Sus scrofa: one gene and its partners. The protein of the gene in region 4 purifies or fractionates together with the protein of the main gene of each other region. This does not show direct contact. Links are inferred from orthologs where the notes say so. Each region holds a gene or a part of one and is shown on either strand. Other genes may lie near its edges. The genes, in order: SYNJ1, DNM3, DNM1 and SNX9.

Evidence for each region.
Region 1: the proteins of SNX9 (region 4) and SYNJ1 purify together in Homo sapiens (co-immunoprecipitation; 3 studies listed by BioGRID and IntAct, counting the BioPlex papers as one, with this or other methods). This does not show direct contact. The link is inferred for Sus scrofa from reciprocal best matches to the Homo sapiens genes SNX9 and SYNJ1.
Region 2: the proteins of SNX9 (region 4) and DNM3 purify together in Homo sapiens (co-immunoprecipitation; 3 studies listed by BioGRID and IntAct, counting the BioPlex papers as one, with this or other methods). This does not show direct contact. The link is inferred for Sus scrofa from reciprocal best matches to the Homo sapiens genes SNX9 and DNM3.
Region 3: the proteins of SNX9 (region 4) and DNM1 purify together in Homo sapiens (co-immunoprecipitation; 6 studies listed by BioGRID and IntAct, counting the BioPlex papers as one, with this or other methods). This does not show direct contact. The link is inferred for Sus scrofa from reciprocal best matches to the Homo sapiens genes SNX9 and DNM1.

What each region holds. Positions count from the first base shown.
Region 1 is NC_010455.5:196,232,734-196,237,169, forward strand, and holds part of SYNJ1 (synaptojanin-1), read right to left. Parts: intron 3,353-4,436; coding exon of another isoform or gene 3,332-3,352; exon of another isoform or gene 3,329-3,331; intron 465-3,328; coding exon 1-464. UniProt on the Homo sapiens protein: Phosphatase that acts on various phosphoinositides, including phosphatidylinositol 4-phosphate, phosphatidylinositol (4,5)-bisphosphate and phosphatidylinositol (3,4,5)-trisphosphate. Has a role in clathrin-mediated endocytosis.
Region 2 is NC_010451.4:114,429,553-114,434,033, forward strand, and holds part of DNM3 (dynamin-3), read left to right. Parts: intron 1-2,620; coding exon 2,621-2,756; intron 2,757-4,481. UniProt on the Homo sapiens protein: Microtubule-associated force-producing protein involved in producing microtubule bundles and able to bind and hydrolyze GTP. Most probably involved in vesicular trafficking processes, in particular endocytosis.
Region 3 is NC_010443.5:268,651,175-268,656,269, reverse strand, and holds the start of DNM1 (dynamin-1), read right to left. Parts: upstream 3,203-5,095; 5' UTR 3,097-3,202; coding exon 2,936-3,096; intron 2,380-2,935; exon of another isoform or gene 1-2,379. UniProt on the Homo sapiens protein: Catalyzes the hydrolysis of GTP and utilizes this energy to mediate vesicle scission and participates in many forms of endocytosis, such as clathrin-mediated endocytosis or synaptic vesicle endocytosis as well as rapid endocytosis (RE).
Region 4 is NC_010443.5:9,165,692-9,170,172, forward strand, and holds part of SNX9 (sorting nexin-9), read right to left. Parts: intron 3,908-4,481; coding exon 3,742-3,907; intron 1,931-3,741; coding exon 1,780-1,930; intron 1-1,779. UniProt on the Homo sapiens protein: Involved in endocytosis and intracellular vesicle trafficking, both during interphase and at the end of mitosis. Required for efficient progress through mitosis and cytokinesis. Required for normal formation of the cleavage furrow at the end of mitosis.

The DNA of each region.
Region 1 (4,436 bases), on a different chromosome or scaffold from region 4:
AAACTGTCCTTAAAGCCCTCCAGCGACGATGCAGGCTTGATCTCACCAAGAGGCTTCAGAGAAGGGAAAGGACTCTGAGCAACAGGCTGTTCTTGGGAGAACCATGAAGTTGCCTCTGATTCTTGAGACCCAGCTCTAAAGGGGTTTCCGGGAGCGGCAGTCCTGTCGGTGAAAGGGTTTGTGCCGCTCGAGCTCGTGACGAATGGGTTTGGCGAACAGCGTGTGTTTTCCTGGGATTTACTCCGGGCTGGAATTGGAGGCATTGTCGGCATGCAGCTTGCAGAACTCAAAGTATTCGTGTTGCCTGGGGTTGCGCAAGGCAACGGAATCAACCCCTCTGGGTCTGGGGTTTGAACAGGGAACTGATCCTTTAATACAGTAAGCAGATTCAACGACAGGTCTTCAAACGGGTCACTCTTTAATGGCGAGTCCAGTCTGACGGCGGAGACTCCGTTTGTTTTTACCTGGAAAAGAGAGCACTGAATAATCAGAAAAAAACCAAAAAGTATTCTATTTACTTTGAATACCCCCTATGCTTCCTGTCTCAATTACTTTTCATGGAGGGGGGCACGCATACAAATTTAGAAAAAAAAAAAAAGCTTTGTATATTGAGTCTGTTACTCTGGTGGTTTAAGTAAGATACAACAGCTGAAATTGTATTTTTAAAAAACACCCGGCTCAGTAAGTCCTTGTAATGAGTAGAGCTTATTTCATCCATGCAAGTATGGATATGGTGGCGTGGAGAACTGTACAGAGTTAGCAAATGGGTTTTGCTCAGCCCCGTTCTATCAGACGTTCACACGAACTGAAGACACCCAATACCCAGGAGCTCCTGCTGTGGCTCAACAGGATCAGTGGCGTCTTAGGAGCACTGGGATGCAGGTTCAGTGCCCAGCCTGGCACAGTGCGTTAAGGACCCAGTGTTGCTGCAGCTGCGGTGGAGGTTGCAACTGCAGCTCGGATCTGACCCCTGGCCTGGGAACTCCACATGCTGAGGCATGGCCAAAAAAAAAAAAAAAGAAACCCATATTCAGAACTTACGCTGAATCTCTAGAAATTAACTTCCAACACCCATCTATGATGATGATGTGGCATCTCTGTTCATTTAAATATATTTTCATTTAGAGTTACTATGACTTTGGAAATTCAACTTTATGGATGAAAGTTAGTTTTGTTACCATAATTGCATTCATAAGCTGAAGACCATGCATCTTTTCCTTTTCTACTTGGAAAAATAAATTTTCAAAGCATTCTTTGCCTTTTAATGTAAAGTTCTTCTTTACAGAATCACCTCTGTGAATAATGTGACAATATTCCTCCATGGACCTTCCCTCATCGAAACATGCTCCCAAACAGAATTTGTTGACCACTAAATGCAGCGATTGTTTACAACTTGGGTGTGTGTGTGTGTGTGTGTGTGTGGTGTGGGCAGGGTGTGTGGGGGGGAATCCCATTTTCTATTTCGTCTATCAATTCTTAAACCAACATGAAGCTGTGCGCAGAGGGTACCCAGTTCTTTCCATGTGACAGAGTTGGCTGTGAACTGTTACTGGTAAGAGGAGGGATCAAAATTACTTCACTCTGTGCCTCTTTCACAAGGAAGCCGGCTGAAGCGGAGCACGGCTGTGGGACTGAGAAAAGCCAACTGTTCTTATGGGAAACAGAACTGTGATCTTGACCTCAATGAGACAATTAGCTCATCAGGTACTTCATTTTAATTAAAAAAAAAACACACCTCTGCATAATTATTAAAAGTAGATGGGTGACTTGGATACCTCTGCCAAATTAAGAGGAAGAAAATAAACCTTGGATAAGGACAGGGGAAGGAGAATTTTAGCTCAAGACTTACGAGGTAAAAAAATGGAGCACTATCCAAAATGCACTTAGGTAGTTGTTAAAGCAAATAACTAAATGGAGTTCCCACTGTGGTACAGTGGGTTAAGGATCTGGCGTTGCCACAGCTGTTGCTTGCATTTGATCCCTAGCCCAGGAACTTCCTTATGTTATGGGCACAGTCAAAAAAAAAAAAAAAAAAAAAAAAAAAAAGCAAATAGCTAAACATTCATGAGATACGCTGGAAAAGAGAGCAGCAGTCCCAATGAAACAAATACAATTGCATCTTGAAGCAGTAACTTGGTGCTTAGGAATAGGGAAGGCTGTTCATTTGCCAAAGGAACTGGTGTAGATAACCTCCTAAGTGAATCGCCCTCTGTCTGGTATCTGTTTTCAGAGTGATCTAAAACATACTTCATAATTGAGGAAACAAATATGTTTTTCTTCAAACTTAATATGAACAATAAATTTGTACAAAATTGAAGAATAAACACGTCACAGACTCTGAATTACATTCTAAGTGTACGGAAGGGAAGCAGACCCATATGAGGAAAGGTACTTAAGACAAATGTGTTAATGGACATTATAACATTGTAATTAACTCTATATTACCAATAATGTCTGGATTATTTATGATTCACATACCAAAAGCGAAGGACTCGATTGGGTCTGGGACCCAGTTTTCCCGTGGTAGAAAGAAGAGTTCACAACACAGACATTATAGGTGAGAAGTTTATGTTCCGCACAGCTTAGAAGAGTAGGCTCTTGCCAAATAAATGTTACACATTGAAATAGCTTTATTTTCATATACTAAACTTTTTTCTTTCAAAATAATTTCAAGGTAATTTGCTAGAAACAAGATCATTTTGCCCAATCAGACTTGAAATTAGAATGAGAGCCACACCATCCTTCATGACATTAGAACTAACTCATAAAGCAGGATTTGTGATGATGATATTAATGACGATGGTATTTTTACAGAGAAGGGTGTTGGAAGGCCTCTTATAATCTTGTTACAATGTTAACTTGTATCTTTGTAAATCATCAATTCTGCCTTAGCAAAAAGAGTCTTGCTACTAAAATTATTTTTTTAAAATTTCCCCAAAGACATCTAAGAATAAAAGTTAAATCTGTATTTATTTAATTGTGCCATTGTTAAAAACAAGAACCAATTTGATTTCGCCAGACTTTTGTATGCCTAAAGCTTACCTTCTTGAAGTGACATTTTTTAGTTTTGTTAATTTTTGTAAGAAACAAAGCCAAAAAAAAAAAAAAAAAAGGGAAAGCATTAGCAAGAACAACTAAAACGGTTCCTAAAAATTCAAAGTACTAAGAAAAACAGCAGTCTCTACTATGGTATGATAACAGAATTTATTAATGTGGACACGTGGTTTTAAAATGAGTGAAACTTTAGATGTATGAAGCAAAAGATTCATACATCTAATGTGCTAAGACAGATGAGAAGCACATACAAGATTGAGAAATTATCCAATACCTGTTACCCTGATGGTTGCTCCTGCTTTGAGAAAGGGAACACAGACATCAAAGGAAAGAGTTAGGAGGATAATCTGAGACCAACCGGCAACCCTAACAATTCAATCTTCAATATATTATATTACATTTAGTTCTACATTACACACAAAATCCAAAAGCAGTGGTATTTACGGGTCACAGCATAAGATCAAGAGATAATTCCAACTTCTTCTGTCATTTCCAATGAACAATACATGGGTAAATTAGAGCTCAAACTTTAGTTTTCTCTGAGGCTGATTACTAACTGGTTCAAAGCGGTCGTCCCCAAAACAATATGCTAAATAGGTTTTTGGCGCTCTAAACTATTTTAAGCAGACTGTTTTGGATGAAATGTTTGTGTCCCCCCAGAACTGCTGTGTTGAAGCCCTAACCCCCAATGTGATGGCATTTGGAGATGTGGCCTTTGGGAGGTAACTGGGGTTAGATGAGGTGAGGCCCTCATGATGGGATTAGCAGCCTCAGGAGGAGACAGGCCAGCGGCTTGCTCTCTTGCTCTTTTTCTTCTCGTGCAAGCACCAAGGACAGGCCATGTGAACACGCAGCAGAAGGGCAGCTGTCTGCAAGCCAGGAAAAGAGCTGTCACCAGAACCCAACTACCTTGGCATCCTGATCTTGGACGTCCAGCCTCCAGAGCTATGAGAGAACAAATTTCTACTGTTTGAGCCACTCAGTTTATGGTATTTTGTTCTGAAGGCCCAAGAAGAGTAGGACATGGCCTTAAGGTAGCCTATGGCTTTATCATCATTAAAGAAAATAGCATCACTTTGCAAAAAGGTGAAAATTAGTTTTTTTAACAAATGTTCAGGATCCGGGCTTAGTCTACATTACTCAAATTTTTTGAAGGGTGATACTATCATTAATTCACTTTATTAGTTGGAAGGTAAAACAAAGCAAAAAACTGGATCCTTTTTTCGTTGTTTAAAAATGAAATCATAATCTTTCTGTAACAGTGCTTTTAAAAGTTACAGTAGTCTCAAGAAACAGTTTGAGCACATCTTCCCTAATATTTAAAGCTTACCTTATTTAAAAATACCGAAACTGACTTTGACAACTGAAGAGAGACACCGTTC
Region 2 (4,481 bases), on a different chromosome or scaffold from region 4:
GAGGTTTCTAAATGTTCCGATTACTTAAGTGACATATTAAATGCATCATTGTATCTTCCTCCATTAAAAAATTGTCATATGTAGAAAAGAATTTTTCTTGGTTTTGAGTATGTCCTAGTTTATCTTTTTCTTTTACTCTTGGCTTTGGTTAAGCTCCTATTAAAACCTCTTCAAGTTACAGAGAAAGGAAAATTATTTCTGTTTAGGCCCTAGGTCATCATCAAAAGAAACTGTTCTCTTTGCAAAGACTGGGCCTTGCCTCTGTAATTCTATTGGACTCATATTACAATTTTCTGCAGCCAGATTCTTCCCTTGTAGGGAACTGATTCAGCTCCTTTCCTTTCTTTCTTCCTCCTCCTTCTCTCCCTCCCTTTCTACCTTCCATATTGCCTGCTCTTTTTTTTTTTTTTTTTTTTGTCTTTTTGCTATTTCTTGGGCCGCTCCCGTGGCATATGGAGGTTCCCAGGCTAGGGGTCTAATCGGAGCTGTATTCTCCGGCCTACGCCAGAGCCACAGCAACGGGGGATCCGAGCCGCGTCTGCAACCTACACCACAGCTCACGGCAACGCCGGATCGTTAACCCACTGAGCAAGGGCAGGGACCGAACCCACAACCTCATGGTTCCTAGTCGGATTCGTTAACCACTGCGCCACGACGGGAACTCCTTGCCTGCTCTTATCTCTGTGCATTACACTTGATGTCTGGCCCTGTGCTATCCACTGGGGCTTCAGCAAGGGATAAGATTTTTGCCTTCAAGAAGACGTCATAGTATAGCAAGAGAAACAGACATATAAGTAACTTTGTTAAAATCTGATAAATGCTACATTTCTGGTAATTATAAAATATTAAGGAATCCCAGATGAAGAGCAGTTACATGGGAGTAAGAGTACGAATTCAGAGAGATCCTGAAATATGGGAGGAGTTTGTTAGGTGGCAAAAGGAGGTTAAGAGAATAGTGTGAACCTCTGAGCAGCTTGTTCTAGTCGACCAGGTGGCTGGGATATAGGATATGCAGAAAGCAGTGACTAGAGGTAAATTTTCAAAAGTTTCCCAGTGTTCCTTACCTTTCCAGGTGTTTCAAATTAGATTAACATTAGCATATACATGAATATAGCTATATCCAATTATGGTCTAGCTTTTCCGACCTAAATATTTGCAGTTACCTTTTTTTCTTTTTTTTTCTTTTTTTTTAAAAAGGGCTGCACCTACTGCATATGGAGGTTCCCAGGCTAGGGATCTAATTGGAGCTGTAGCTGCTGGCTTACTCCAGAGCTACAGCAACGCCAGATCCGAGCCATGTCTGTGACCTACACCACAGCTCATGGCAACGCCAGATCCTTAACCACTGAGCAAGGCCAGGGATCGAACCTACAACCTCATGGTTCCTAGTCAGATTCATTTCCACTGCGCCACGACAGGGAGTCCCTAGTTGCAGTTACTTTTAATTCATCCATGATTTTGATGAAAGAGCATAAAAGATGCAAACTTTAGATGGTTTGAATTGTGTTATTAGGTTTTGAATTTGAAAGTAGTGCCAGTATGTCAAAATTAGAGTTTCTAAAGCTAGTAATCACAAATACAAGTAGTCAGTTTTCCCCTATAATATATGTTTTTTGTATCAACCACCCTGAGGTAATTTATTTCTTCATTGATCTTATTGAATACCTCTTCTATGCTGAGACAGGGGAAGTAAATAAAATGCATGGTCCTTGCCCTTAGAAGAGGGACTGATAAATGAACAATGGTGATATACTCTGCTAAGTGCTTTGTTGAAAGTATACTGAGGAAGCTGAGGAGGGAGCCCTTCATCCGGGTGGCAAAGAGTGGTGAAGGTGGGTAGGACCATGGGTCATGGGATGTTTCCTGGGAAAACTAATGCTCGAGCTGAGTCTTGACGGACAGATGAAAGTTAGCCAGACAAAGAAGCACAAGGCAGAGCAGAAAGGAAAACAAGTGTAAAAGTGTAGAGACTTGGTGCATGTGGGGAACTGTGATACAGCTTGGAAGCTGAGTGGGGATGAGTGGTAAGAAACAGGGCAAACAGGGCCAGACCATGGAGAGTCTTAGGTGATGGGGTCAGGAGATTTAATTTTACTAAACTCTGAGGAGTCATTGAAAAACAAGGCTGGTGCTAGTTGTAAAGGTGCATGGGTGGAGGCCACAAATTTGCATTGTTTAGCACAGTGAGGTCTCTGATGCTGGGGCCCAGAAAGAGAATAGCTCATGAAGTGAGACAGTGGGAGACTAAGTGATTGTGATGCCACAAGAGTCATGGCTCATTTGACTATTATACATCAAGTTGTATTGCTTAACTTTCATTCTTAATTTAGGTGTTTTTAAATACCATTTCATGTTTGCAACTAAATGGACAGAATGCATTTAATGACACAGATGTTTCAAATATATATCTTTTAAATTAAATGTCTAAAATAAATCTTAATAACGTGTACTTCATATTGTTACATTTTGCATGCTGAATAGAGTGCAATGTTAATTCTGCCAGTAGGTGCCACTAAGAACCCCAGGAAAAGAATTTTGAGGGATAACCGTAGCAAATTAAAATGAAAAACATGAAGCCTTGTAACCTTAACTTAAATTTATTTCTCTTTCACAATTATAGGATGGTTCAGCAATTTGCTGTGGACTTTGAGAAGAGAATTGAAGGGTCAGGGGATCAAGTAGATACACTGGAGCTCTCAGGGGGTGCTAAAATCAATCGTATTTTCCATGAACGCTTTCCTTTTGAGATAGTAAAGGTTAGTACCATATATTGTTCTTTTTCCCTTTGTCTCATTTCATTTCTATGTAACTGTTCATAAAATGTTATGTGAGTGGTATGGGACTAAGGTGATTCTTTAAATGAAAGCCTCCACACTTAACTAATGAAATTTAGAGAGCAATATTTTCTTACTGATTTTATTTAATGGAATTGAATGACATTTGAAATAATTCAACAACTGCTAATTGGTTCCTATGATGTTTATTTATTGTCTAATTAATTTCAAAATATTTCTTGAGCACCTACTGTGTACCAGTGAGCTAGGTGCTGGGGATCAAGACAGAGACACCGTCTGGTGGGAGAAGGCAGAAAATTAACAAATAGGCAAAGTAGGAATATATCAAGTATATTATTATGTAGCATAGTGTGAGAGAAATGGGAGATGGATAGCCACTTTGGGTGGAATGTTCGGGCAAGGTCTCTCTGACTGCGGGATCTTTAAAGCATGACCAGAATGACATGAAGAGGTCAGCCGTAAGGATCTGGAGGAAGAAGGTTGTCCAAGGCCAGAAGTCAAAGACAAGGCCCTAAGGCAAGCACCCATAGAGCAGGTGAGGAACCCTTGAGGCTGGTGCAGAGCTGGTGAAGGAGAAGGTAGAGAAAACGAATTCAGAGGAAGAATGTGCCCAGTTTAGGCAGGGCTTTCTAGGTTGCTGTGAGGTGTTTACATTTAACAATGGGAAGTCAGAGGAGAGTTTTAAGCAAAGGTGTGACCTGATTTGGTTGGTGATTTAAAAAGAACACTATGTGGATTGGATTGTAAAGGGACAAGGGTGGATTCAGGAAGACAAGTAAGGTGAGTTAAACAGCAGGGGCAGAGCCGAGGTGGATCCCTTTCTGTGGGGCCTGAAACCTGTATAATTTGGGGGGCTCCCTTGAAGAAGAAGAAGAATACAAAATTATGAACACACAGGCACAGGTCTTGGAAGGAACTTATGCAAGGAAGAAGCCCTAAAACTTATAAACTTCTTTAGCTTTATAGTAAAAATGCCTCAGAAGAGAGGCTTGAGAGGAGAGGTGCATTTGTGATTTTGATGGTAATGGCAGTAGGAGTTGGTTTGATATGGGAGATGCAAGAAAGAGACGAGTCAAGATGACTCCCAAGATTTTGTCTTGCAAACTGAGAGTTAGTGCCCAGAAGAGGAGGGGAACTGAGGAAAAGCTCAGTGTTAAGTTATGAATCAAGGGTTCTGTTTTGGGTATGTTAAGTTTGAAAGGCCCAATAGGCAGCTGCATAGTTTTAGGGACCATGTTACTTGCCTCACATACGGAGGTGGGTGCTTATGTCTTGGTGTAGGAGGCTGATGGGTAAATAGACAGTTTCATTAAAATGTGCTGATATATAAAGTGATAAACTTCAGTACAGGGTGCTATGGAAACACAGCCCGTGAACATGAATCCCAGCCCAACAGTGTAAGAGAGCCTGGCTCCTGAGCTCAGTTAAGAAGGATGAACAGCTGGTTAAGCAGGAAAGGTGGGTTGGGGTTGGGGGGAAGATTGTTCCAGACAGAAATGGAGGAATAGTAAAGGCTGAGAGGTGGAGGCACAGGATGTGGATAGGGAACTAAAGTGATTCCTAAAGTGTGAGGGGGACAATGGACATGCAGAGGCTGGAGAGGCCAAATCTCAGAAGTCAGCGACTGAACCAAATTTTCTCTTGATATCCCTTCTAGTTCTAAGCTCAGTGGCACTTTGATCCTAC
Region 3 (5,095 bases), about 260 Mb from region 4:
GACTCCCGGAAAGCCTCGGGAGGCAGAGCCACTGTTACCATGCTCACGGGTCTGGGGACCCAGCCCTAGGTCGGGAGCTTGAGAGCCACGGCAGAGCAAGCAGGGCTGAGCAGGGCTTCAAAACCATGCTCAATAGTGCCCAGCTTGTAAGTGGCAGAGCTGAGCTACAAACCCAGGTCTGATGCCAGAGCCCGAGCCCTCAGCCCCTCTGCCACATTCCCACTGGCCTTGGCTTCACCAGGGGTCAAGCTGGAGGGAAGCTGGGCACTGCCCAACTGCCAGCAGGCCTGGGCACTAGAATGAGCGAGGCCAGGGGCACAGGAGCCTGGAAGCCTCTTCCAGGATGCTGGACTTGGGGCTGGACAGATGTTGTGGGGAGGGGGCTCGCGGCGGGGGGCAGACAAAGGGAAGCTTGGGGCCCTGGCAAAATGCTCACATTTTATCTGCACTCCAGCCCTGGCCTCCTTGCTGGCTTTCACGAGTATCAAGCCATACCTCCCCATTCACTCCTTAGCCCCAGGCCCAGCCTCCTGCTCTGCCAGGGGCCTGCCTCATCTGGTGACCCTGTGCACCCACCATCAACGGGTACTGGGTGGCAGAGGGTGGAAAGAGGGCCCCGGCCTCCCCAGCAGAGTCCACATCTTTTCCACCAGCTGACAAGCGAACAGTTGCAGACGGTGGCCGGGCCTGTCTCCCCACTGGCACCTCTCTGCTGGACAGTGCGCTCCAAGAGGCCACCGTCCAGGTGTGTCCCCAAACCTATCCACAGCTCCCTCCCACATGTTTACAAAAGAGGGCTTTGCCACCCTTGAGCTCCCTGGAGCCCCACAGCCAAGATCAGGAAGGCAGGGCGGCAGCTGTCAGTGTGTCCATTCCCCAGATGCGGAAAATGGGGCCCCCACACCTGCACGTCCCCGAGCTCAGTGCAAAGCTTGGTGCTCAGACTGGGTGGGCTGGACATGGGAGTCTAATAGATGCTGTCCTTCCTGGCTGTGTGACCTTGGGCAAGGCCTCCAACCTCAGGGTCTGTTTCCTCACCTGCGGGAGGACCACCAGGGCACCTGCCTCATGAGGCTGTGTGACCCAGCCTATAGAGCATGGTGTGGGGCCTGTGGGAAGGGCTCAGCAGACGGCTGCTGGGGTCACCTTCCCCTCTGCAGCCCCTGCGCAGAGCACGCAGCAGGCACAGAGCAGGGGTTCAGCAGCCGTCCAGCGGATGGAAGGAAGGACTGTGGTTTGCACACTGTAAAGTGCTGGGTGTCCGTGTCATTTACAGCACCAAGGCCTCAGGGCTTTATTGTCTCCAGGGTTCACCCCCCCTCCCTGGACTCTGACTGCCGGCCCTTAGGAAAGGGGCCCATCTGTGTGTCTCATGCTGGTGTCTCTGCAGCTCTGGGGAGGGGGGGTGTCACATGAGCAGGAGGGGGGGGTTCTGTGGGAGTCCGTCCCCTGGAAACAGACGGCACCCCTCTCTGCTGACCAGATGGGTCTGGCCACCCCCACAGTGGCTTTCCAACAGCTCACAGATACATGGCTCCAGGCAGGACCCTCTCCTCTCGCCCCTGGGGTTGGTGCTGGGCTTCCCAGGTCATTTAAGAGGCAGGACCTCTCCAGCCTGGCTGTCCGCACTGGAGATGGTGAAACAGAGGCTCAGAGAGGGTAGTGACTCGCCTGAGGTTTCACAGCAGAGCCTGGCTTGGACCCAGGATGTTTTGCCCCAGAACTGCGTCCCTCTGAGGGGGAAGTTCTGCCTGCCTCCCTCTCCCATGTGCCATTGGCTTCTTTAGCCATGAAGGTCATTGGAAGAAAGCTAGGGTTTCTGATGAAGGTGAGAGAGGGAGATGACAGAGGGGGGAGGTCAGTGTCAATTCTCCTGCCTCCTCCCTCAGTCTGCCCAGCACCCCCCACCTCCAGCACCAGGAGAGCGCCCCCTCTCTCCTTCTCAGCACCCGAAAAGCCATCTCCACCTCCCCTTTCTTGGGGAACCCTGGGGGGGTCACGACCCTGCCTGCCTCCCTAAACCCGGGGTCCTTTGTCTTTGTGGTTGCCCCCCACTCCCTGCCACCTGGCCCTCCCAGCGCCTTGTGGGATCAGAGGCAGGAGGGGGATTAGGTTGTGCAAATGGCTCCCCCCCCCTCCTCCCCGCCATCCTGCCTCCCTGTCTTAGTCATCTCTGCCCTCCGCCGCCTTCTCCCTCCATTACAATTCCTCTGCCAGGCCAAGGGGAGAACAACACTGACAGGCGCCCCCCACCCCACCCAGGGGCGGCGGCGGGGCAAGGGGCCGGCTGCTCAGTAAAGGATCCCCCCCAACCCATCCTGCAGCCCGCGCCTCCCCCTTCTTCCGCGCTGCGCACGGATGGCGGCTGGGGCCGCAGAGGTGTGTGTGTGTGACGGCGGGGGGAGGCTGTGTGACATGCCCAGGGGGCTATGTCTTCTCCCAGGGGCAATTGGGGGGGTGTCCCCTGCCAAGGTCCAGGAATTCCCGTGAAGGGAGGGAGCTGTCCTCCGTAGAGCCTGGGGGTGGGGGAACTGCCCTGGGGACGCTGCCCGCTTTAAGGGACCCCCCCCCGCCAGAGCCGTAGGGAGGTGCTGAGTAATGCAGGCCCCTCAGTGCCCATGGAGGGTGGGGGGTGGGGGACAGTCCTTTACCAGGGTCTCTTGGCACAGCGCTGTCTTCCCTAAAGGATGGGGCGGAGGAGGGGGGCGTGATCCCGTGGTCGCCGGCTTGACGTTTGCGGACAAGGAGGGGGTGCTGCGCCCCTGAGGGGCTCTTGGGGAGGGGAGGGCCGCCTCCTTCGGGCTGGAGGTGGGGGGCGCGCGATCCGCGGCGCCCAGCCTGGGGCTGTGAGGTCGCGGCGCCGTCGGGGCCGGGTGGCGAAGGCCGGGAGGACCCGAGCTGGGGGAGTCCGCGCTCAGGGGCGCGCCGCTCCTACCTGCCTACGAAATTCTCGAGCACCGAGCTCTTCCCGGCGCTCTGGCCGCCCACCACGGCGATCTGCGGCAGGTCGAGGTCCGCATTCTGGCCGATGGCAGAGAAGGCATCCTGCAGCCGGTTGACCAGCGGGATGAGATCCTCCATGCCGCGGTTGCCCATGGCTGCGGCGGGCCCCGCGGGCTGCGATGCGGCCGCCGCTGGTGCTCTCGGCTTCGGCTCCGCCGCTGCAGCCGCGCGCTCCGACTGCCTGCGCCGCGGGTCCCCCGCCCCTCGGGGATCGGAGCGGAGCGCTGCGCCAGGGTGCCGCTAGAGGGCGCCCAAAGTGCTGCGGGCCGGCAGCCATGCGCAGGCGCCCGCCGCTGCACCATGGGGATTGTAGTTTTCTCCTTCTGCGGCTTTTGGGGCGCTGGAGCCGTGTCTGGGCGGGGGTGGGGGGGGCGAAGGCTTCGCAGTAGATGTCGTTCCTGTAAATGGGCAAAATGTCCTAGGCACTAGGCAGTCTTCGTACCGGGCCCCACGGATGGTTGTCATGGCTGCCTTACTCCATCTTCCAGATGGGGAAACTGAGGCTTGGAGAGATGGGCCTCCTGCGAGGTCACAGTCTCAGTGACCTGGAGTGTCACTTGGCCTCACTGCCTTCTACTGTACGTCCTGACACTAATTCATCTCTGGCCTGTCCCTTCCCCTCCTTGGGCCTCAGTTTCCCTGTTTCTAGAATGAGAAGATAACAGAACATGAATTCAATGAAAATTTACGGAACACCTACTTATAAGCCAGACCCTGTCCGAGGCACTGGAGACACAGCAGTGAGCAAGACAACCAAGGTCTCCACCCTCATAGATCTTAACTTCCAGGTGGTGGGGACAGACAGTAAATGAATAAATAGGTACATGAAACAGTGCAAGTGAAAATAGCTTATACTAATAGGGATGGAAGAAATACACAAGGGGTGTGAAGAGGGGTACCTGTGTGGGTGCAAAGAGGCCTCTTTAGCCTGGGAGATTAGGGGGGTTCCCTGAGAAGGTGGTATGGAGGGGAGACCTAAATGATGAGAAGGAACCAGCCACAGGCAGGCAGATCAGGGGGGAGGAGCATGCCAGCCCAAGTGAACCACAAGTACAAAGTGCATGATGCTGGGAAGACCCTTCTTGGGAGAGTTGGGCCTTCTCATTTGGGAAAGTGGCAGCCTTTTCCAAACCCATCCATCACGGTGGTGGTAAAACAGTGGGATTTGAATCTAGGACTCCCACAGCCCTACCCCTGGTATCCTTGTCGCATGGAGAGACCATGGGGCCCCAGGCCTAGCCATCCACCTCTGCCCTTAAGGAACCTAATTTGGATTCCCCATTAGGAGGCTAGGAAAGAGAGGCCAGCCTGTCCCGTGCTGTTGTGGGTCACCCTGTGTGTGAACAGAGTGGCCGCAGCGCTGGCAGATCAGTGGCCTGTGAGGCAGAGACGGTCACTCATGCACCCGTGTGAGGCATATTTATTGACCAGGGGCTCTGCTAGACTCCAGAGATAAAGCAATGAGCACAATGAACAAAATCCTTACCCACATCTGGCTAACAGTCTAGTGGAAAAAAGAGGACAAGGCACAAACAAGCCAATAAATAGAATTGTCAGATAGAGATGGGAGCTTTGGAAAACAAAAAAGCTAGGGAAGGTTGGAGGCGAGGGCAATGTTGCTATTTTGATAGGGTGATTGGGGGAGGACTCTGGTAAAAACGTGAGCAGAGGGAGTTCCCCTTGTGGCTCAGGGGGTTAATAACCTGACTAGTATCCATGAGGATGTGGGTTCGATCCCTGACCTCACTCAGTGGGTTAAGGATCCGGCGTTAGGTTGCAGATGTAACTGACATCCTGCATGGCTGTGGCTGTGGAATAGGCCGGCAGTGCCAGCTTGGATTCGACCCTCGCCCAGGAACTTCCATATACAGAAGGTGCGGTCCCCACCCCGGCCCCCCAAAATGTGAGCAGACACCTGATGGAAGCGAGGGGTACCCCATTTCCCAGGCAGGCAGAGGAGACTAGGCAAACTCTATCCCAGAAGACTGGTCAGGGCCTTCGATGAGTCTACCATCCAGATCCCTTCTGAGCCTCAGTTATCTAATCTGGGGAATGGGGATAACGATAGATCAGAACGCCTGCAAAGGCCGTG
Region 4 (4,481 bases):
TTTTTCTTTTTTGTCTTCTGTCTTTTGAGGGCTGCACCCGCGGCCCGTGGAGGTTGCCAGGCTAGGGGTCAAATCGGAGCTGCAGCTGCCGGCCTACACCAGAGCCACAGCAACGTGGGATCTGAGCCGCGTCTGCGACCTGCACCACAGCTCACAGCTAGAAAACTTTTTATCTTTGTCTTTTTTTTTTTTTTTTTTTTTTTGTCTTTTGTCTTTTTGTCTTTTGTCGTTGTTGTTGTTGTTGTTGTTGCTATCTCTTGGGCCGCTTCCGCGGTATATGGAGGTTCCCAGGCTAGGGGTTGAATCGGAGCTGTAGCCACTGGCCTACGCCAGAGCCACAGCAACTCGGGATCCGAGCCGCGTCTGCAACCTACACCACAGCTCACGGCAATGCCGGATCATTAACCCACTGAGCAAGGGCAGGGACGGAACCCGAGACCTCATGGTTCCTAGTCGGATTCGTTAACCACTGCGCCACGACGGGAATTCCAGAAAACTTTTTAAATGTAAGAAGAGTATTTGAAGATAAATCGTCTGGAAGTCATAGACTCTATGTCCTTCAAGCTCCACTGGGTGTAAACTACAGACTCATCCAGAACTCTCTACCGGGGAACCCACAGGGCTGTGTCCACAGCCCTCCTCTTCCGCACGCTTTCCGCGAGGCAGCGTCTCTACGGCACCACTCAAAACAGGACAAACCTAAGGATAAGCCCAGTGAAAACAAAGTCTGAGGCACATGAGGCAGAGCAGCTGTGAGTGTGCGCTCAGGAGGTCAGGGGCTGGCCTGAGTCCCGAGGAAATCACTTCTACCCGTGTGAACCTGGGCAGTGACTTCCCTCTCTGGGCTTCGGCTGCTCCCAGAGTGAAACAGAGGGTCGCATGAGAATGTGCACAAACTGCTTTGCACAAAGCCTGGCACGGGGCACAAGACCAATGAATAGTGAAACATTTGTAAGAAAGTTAACATTATGTTTAGCTTTGCTGTACATCAGCAATGAGTTGATAAAACCAATATTCAGCATATCATTACATGGAACAAATATTTCACTTTAAGATGAAAAAAAAAAACCCAAAACTTTCAAACAAACCTCCAAGCAAAGAGCCACATAAACATGATCAAATCACACCCAAAACTTGGTAGACCACTGACAAGAGAAAAGTGCCTCTTCATATCATCATCTTATTTTTTTCTTTTCTTTTTATGGCTGTACCTGCGGCATATGGAAGTTCCTGGGCCAGGGGTTGAATTAGAGCTGCAGATGCAGCCTATGCCACAGCCACAGCAACGTCAGATCTAAGTCACATCTATGACCTACACCACAGCTTGTGGCAACACTGGACCCTTAACCCACTGTGTGAGGCCAGGGATCAAACCTGCATCCTCACGGACACGATGTCAGGTTCTTAGCCTGCTGAGCCACAATGGGATCTCCTTGTTGCATCTTACATCTGTCTCTTTCTTTCTTTTTTTTTTTCGGTCTTTTTGTTTTTTCAGGGCCGCACCTGAAGCATATGGAGGTTCCCAGCCTAGGGGTCGATTTGGAGCCATAGCCGCCGACCTACGCCACAGCCACAGCAACTCAGGATCCGAGCCGCGTCTCTGACCTACACCACAGCTCACGGCAACGCCGGATCCTTAACCCGCTGAGCAAGACCAGGGATCAAACCCGCAACCTCATGGTTCCTAGTCAGATTTGTTTCCACTGCGCCACGACAGGAACCCCATCTTATATCTGTTTCTACAGAGAGTTCATGTTCCCCCAGTGCCCTGAAACCTACTTGTTAAGCGGCAGCTTCATGGAGGAGGAGCCCGCCCGGCTGTTTCCCCGCTGGGCTCCTCCGGCTTCGGCCGACTCTCCGTCCTTGAAGTAGGGAGACGACGACTTGGGCTCATCCCAGTCTTCGTCCCAGTCGTCATCGTCCCCAGTGGCTGGCGGGAGGCAAAGAAGATCGTCAGCAAAGGAAAACAAGATAAAAACGGGATGACACTTTTCTGATAACAACCGTCAACCGGGTTAACCGTGTACGAAAACTCGGAGAAAAGGGGCGGGGGCAGGACCACACTAAAGACCTGACAAGTACACGCTCTGCGGTCAGTTTTGAGGCTGGAAGATTTTTTTAGAGCAAAAGACAAGCTGGAAACAACTTAAAGTGGGTTGCCAGTCCCAGTACCTTCAGGTAGATGCCAACTATTAACACGCTCAGTGGGCCAGGGAAGGGCTTCCAAAGGCTGGCATGCTGATAGGTCAGGCAGATCAAACACCCTTTAAACAGAGAAGACTGGAGGGGCCGAAGGGGACCCTAGGTCTCTGAAAAGCAGCTGTTCAACACTGATGATAACGCAGGTGAGAAGGGCGAGCTGGTGGAGGAGGGAGAGAGGAGAGGGACGGGCAGCAGCCAGCTGGCGCCAGGGGCCCAGCATTCCGGGAAGAGTCTGTGTCGGGCAAGGCGCTGCCAGCCTCGCTGCCCCCGCCCTTTCTCTTCCACTGCTCCGTGCCTCTGTCTCCCTGAGATGTCCCCTTAGCATCAGGCAGGAAACTGCCCTGGATTTCTGCCCAAAGAGTGCCATCGAGAGAAGCTGAGAGACGAATGGCGAAACAGAAAAGGAGGGGAAAGAAAGTATTAGAAGGATCTGAGCCAAGACGCCCGGGCCACGCCAAGCTACTCGAGGAGCAGGTGTCAGCAGTCTAGTCTCGCCGTTTCTGCTCCACCCACAGCTCCTGGGCCGGCCAGCAGCCAAGCTCCTGTCCACGACTGGGAGCTTGGAACCAGCACCTGGGCCCGTACGGCTCCTGCAGGCGAGTCCCCCGCCATTCAGCACATTCAATTCCTGGCACAATGTACTCATATGGGAATCATTAAAATTACTGGGTGGATCTCTCCTTGTTTTATTTAATCCCAGAACAGACATAAACAGCCTTTCCTAATTCCTCAAGTGTTTCTCCTTTTAGAAATTCTGCTTTTGCCTCAATTTCTGTTAAGAACCTGGGAGTCAGAGAGGTAAAGAAAAGACAGAAGAGCCAAGTGAGAGGTCATAAACTGGCCGCTGATGACCATATTCAATCTGTGTGCACATTTTTGGAGCCAAGATTTAAAAACAAGTGTGTTAGCTGCTAAGATTTTAAAGTGGGAAGATGACATAAAAATTGAGATTCCAGTCTCTGGAACTGTGGAGGCCCAGAAACACCAGCTCAGCTCTGCAATGGTGTCAATCCGCTCCAGAGCAGGGCTGCCCACCTCCATCTTCCGCATGGGGTGGCTCTGTGGCTTTGCTTTATGAACCTGGGCCCACAAGCGTTTCTATTTGTGACTCCATGACAGATAACTGAGAGTGGACTAAAGCTCATAACTGAAGACCACTGGGAATTCCCATTGTGGCTCAGCAGGTTAAGAGCCTGACCAGCATCCATGAGGATGCAGGTCTGATCCCCGGCCTCGCTCAGGGGGTTAAGGATCCAGCATTGCCATGAGCTGTGGTGGAGGTTACAGATGTGGCCTGAATCCCGATTTGCTGAGGCTTGGTGCAGGCCTGCAGCTCCAATTTGACCCCTATCCTGGGAACTTCCATATGCTACAGGTGTGGCCCTAAAAAGCAAAAAAGAAAAAAAGGCCAAAAGGCAAAAAAGAAAAGAATGCCTACATCTGGATCCAGACAAACAAGTCTGCTGTTAGTGAATGCGGGCCGCTGAGAACGGTTCCTGAGATGAAACCTGTCCACCGACGGCAGAGCCTCCTCCTCACCTGGGCCTTGGTAGGCCTGGGGATGACCGAAGGCAGCGTCCCAGTTGTTGGAAGTGTTTCTCTGAGCTGCAGCCCCCTCTGGCTTGGCTCCCCAGCCATCCGTGTTATCCCAGTTTCCAGACTTGGAGGGATTCCAGGCTGACCAGGGGTCATTGCCACTGCTGACCTGTGGTCAAGGGTAAAAAAGAAGAAAGGGTTTGTGACTTCTAGAAAGCATTACTCAATTCAGTAGGACTCACATAATAATTGAACAGGGATGCTGAAAAAATAGATAGAAATCTATAACAGTTTAAAATTTAAATAATACATTTTCAAAAGTAGGAAAGCAAAAAAGTAGCCATCAACCGAATTTTAGTGATGTTAAAAATGTGTCAAGTGGAGTTCTCATCGTGGCTCAGTGGTTAATGAATCCGACTAAAACCATGAGGTTGCAGGTTTGATCCCTGGCCTCGCTCAGCGGGTTAAGGATCCGGCGTTGCCGTCAGCTGTGGTGTAGGTTGCAGACTCGGCTCAGATCCTGCATTGCTATGGCTGTGGTGAAGACCGGTGGCTACAGCTCTGATTCGACCCCTAGCCTGGGAACCTCCATATGCCGTGGGAGCAGCCCTCAAAAGAAAAGGCAAAAAGGCAGAAAAGAAAAAAAAAAGTGTCATGTTTGCCTGGGAACTTTAAAACCAGTCACAAAGAAACTCCCTTTTTTTTCTTCCCTCGAATAACTACTTTTCTGAACCCGGCAGGTT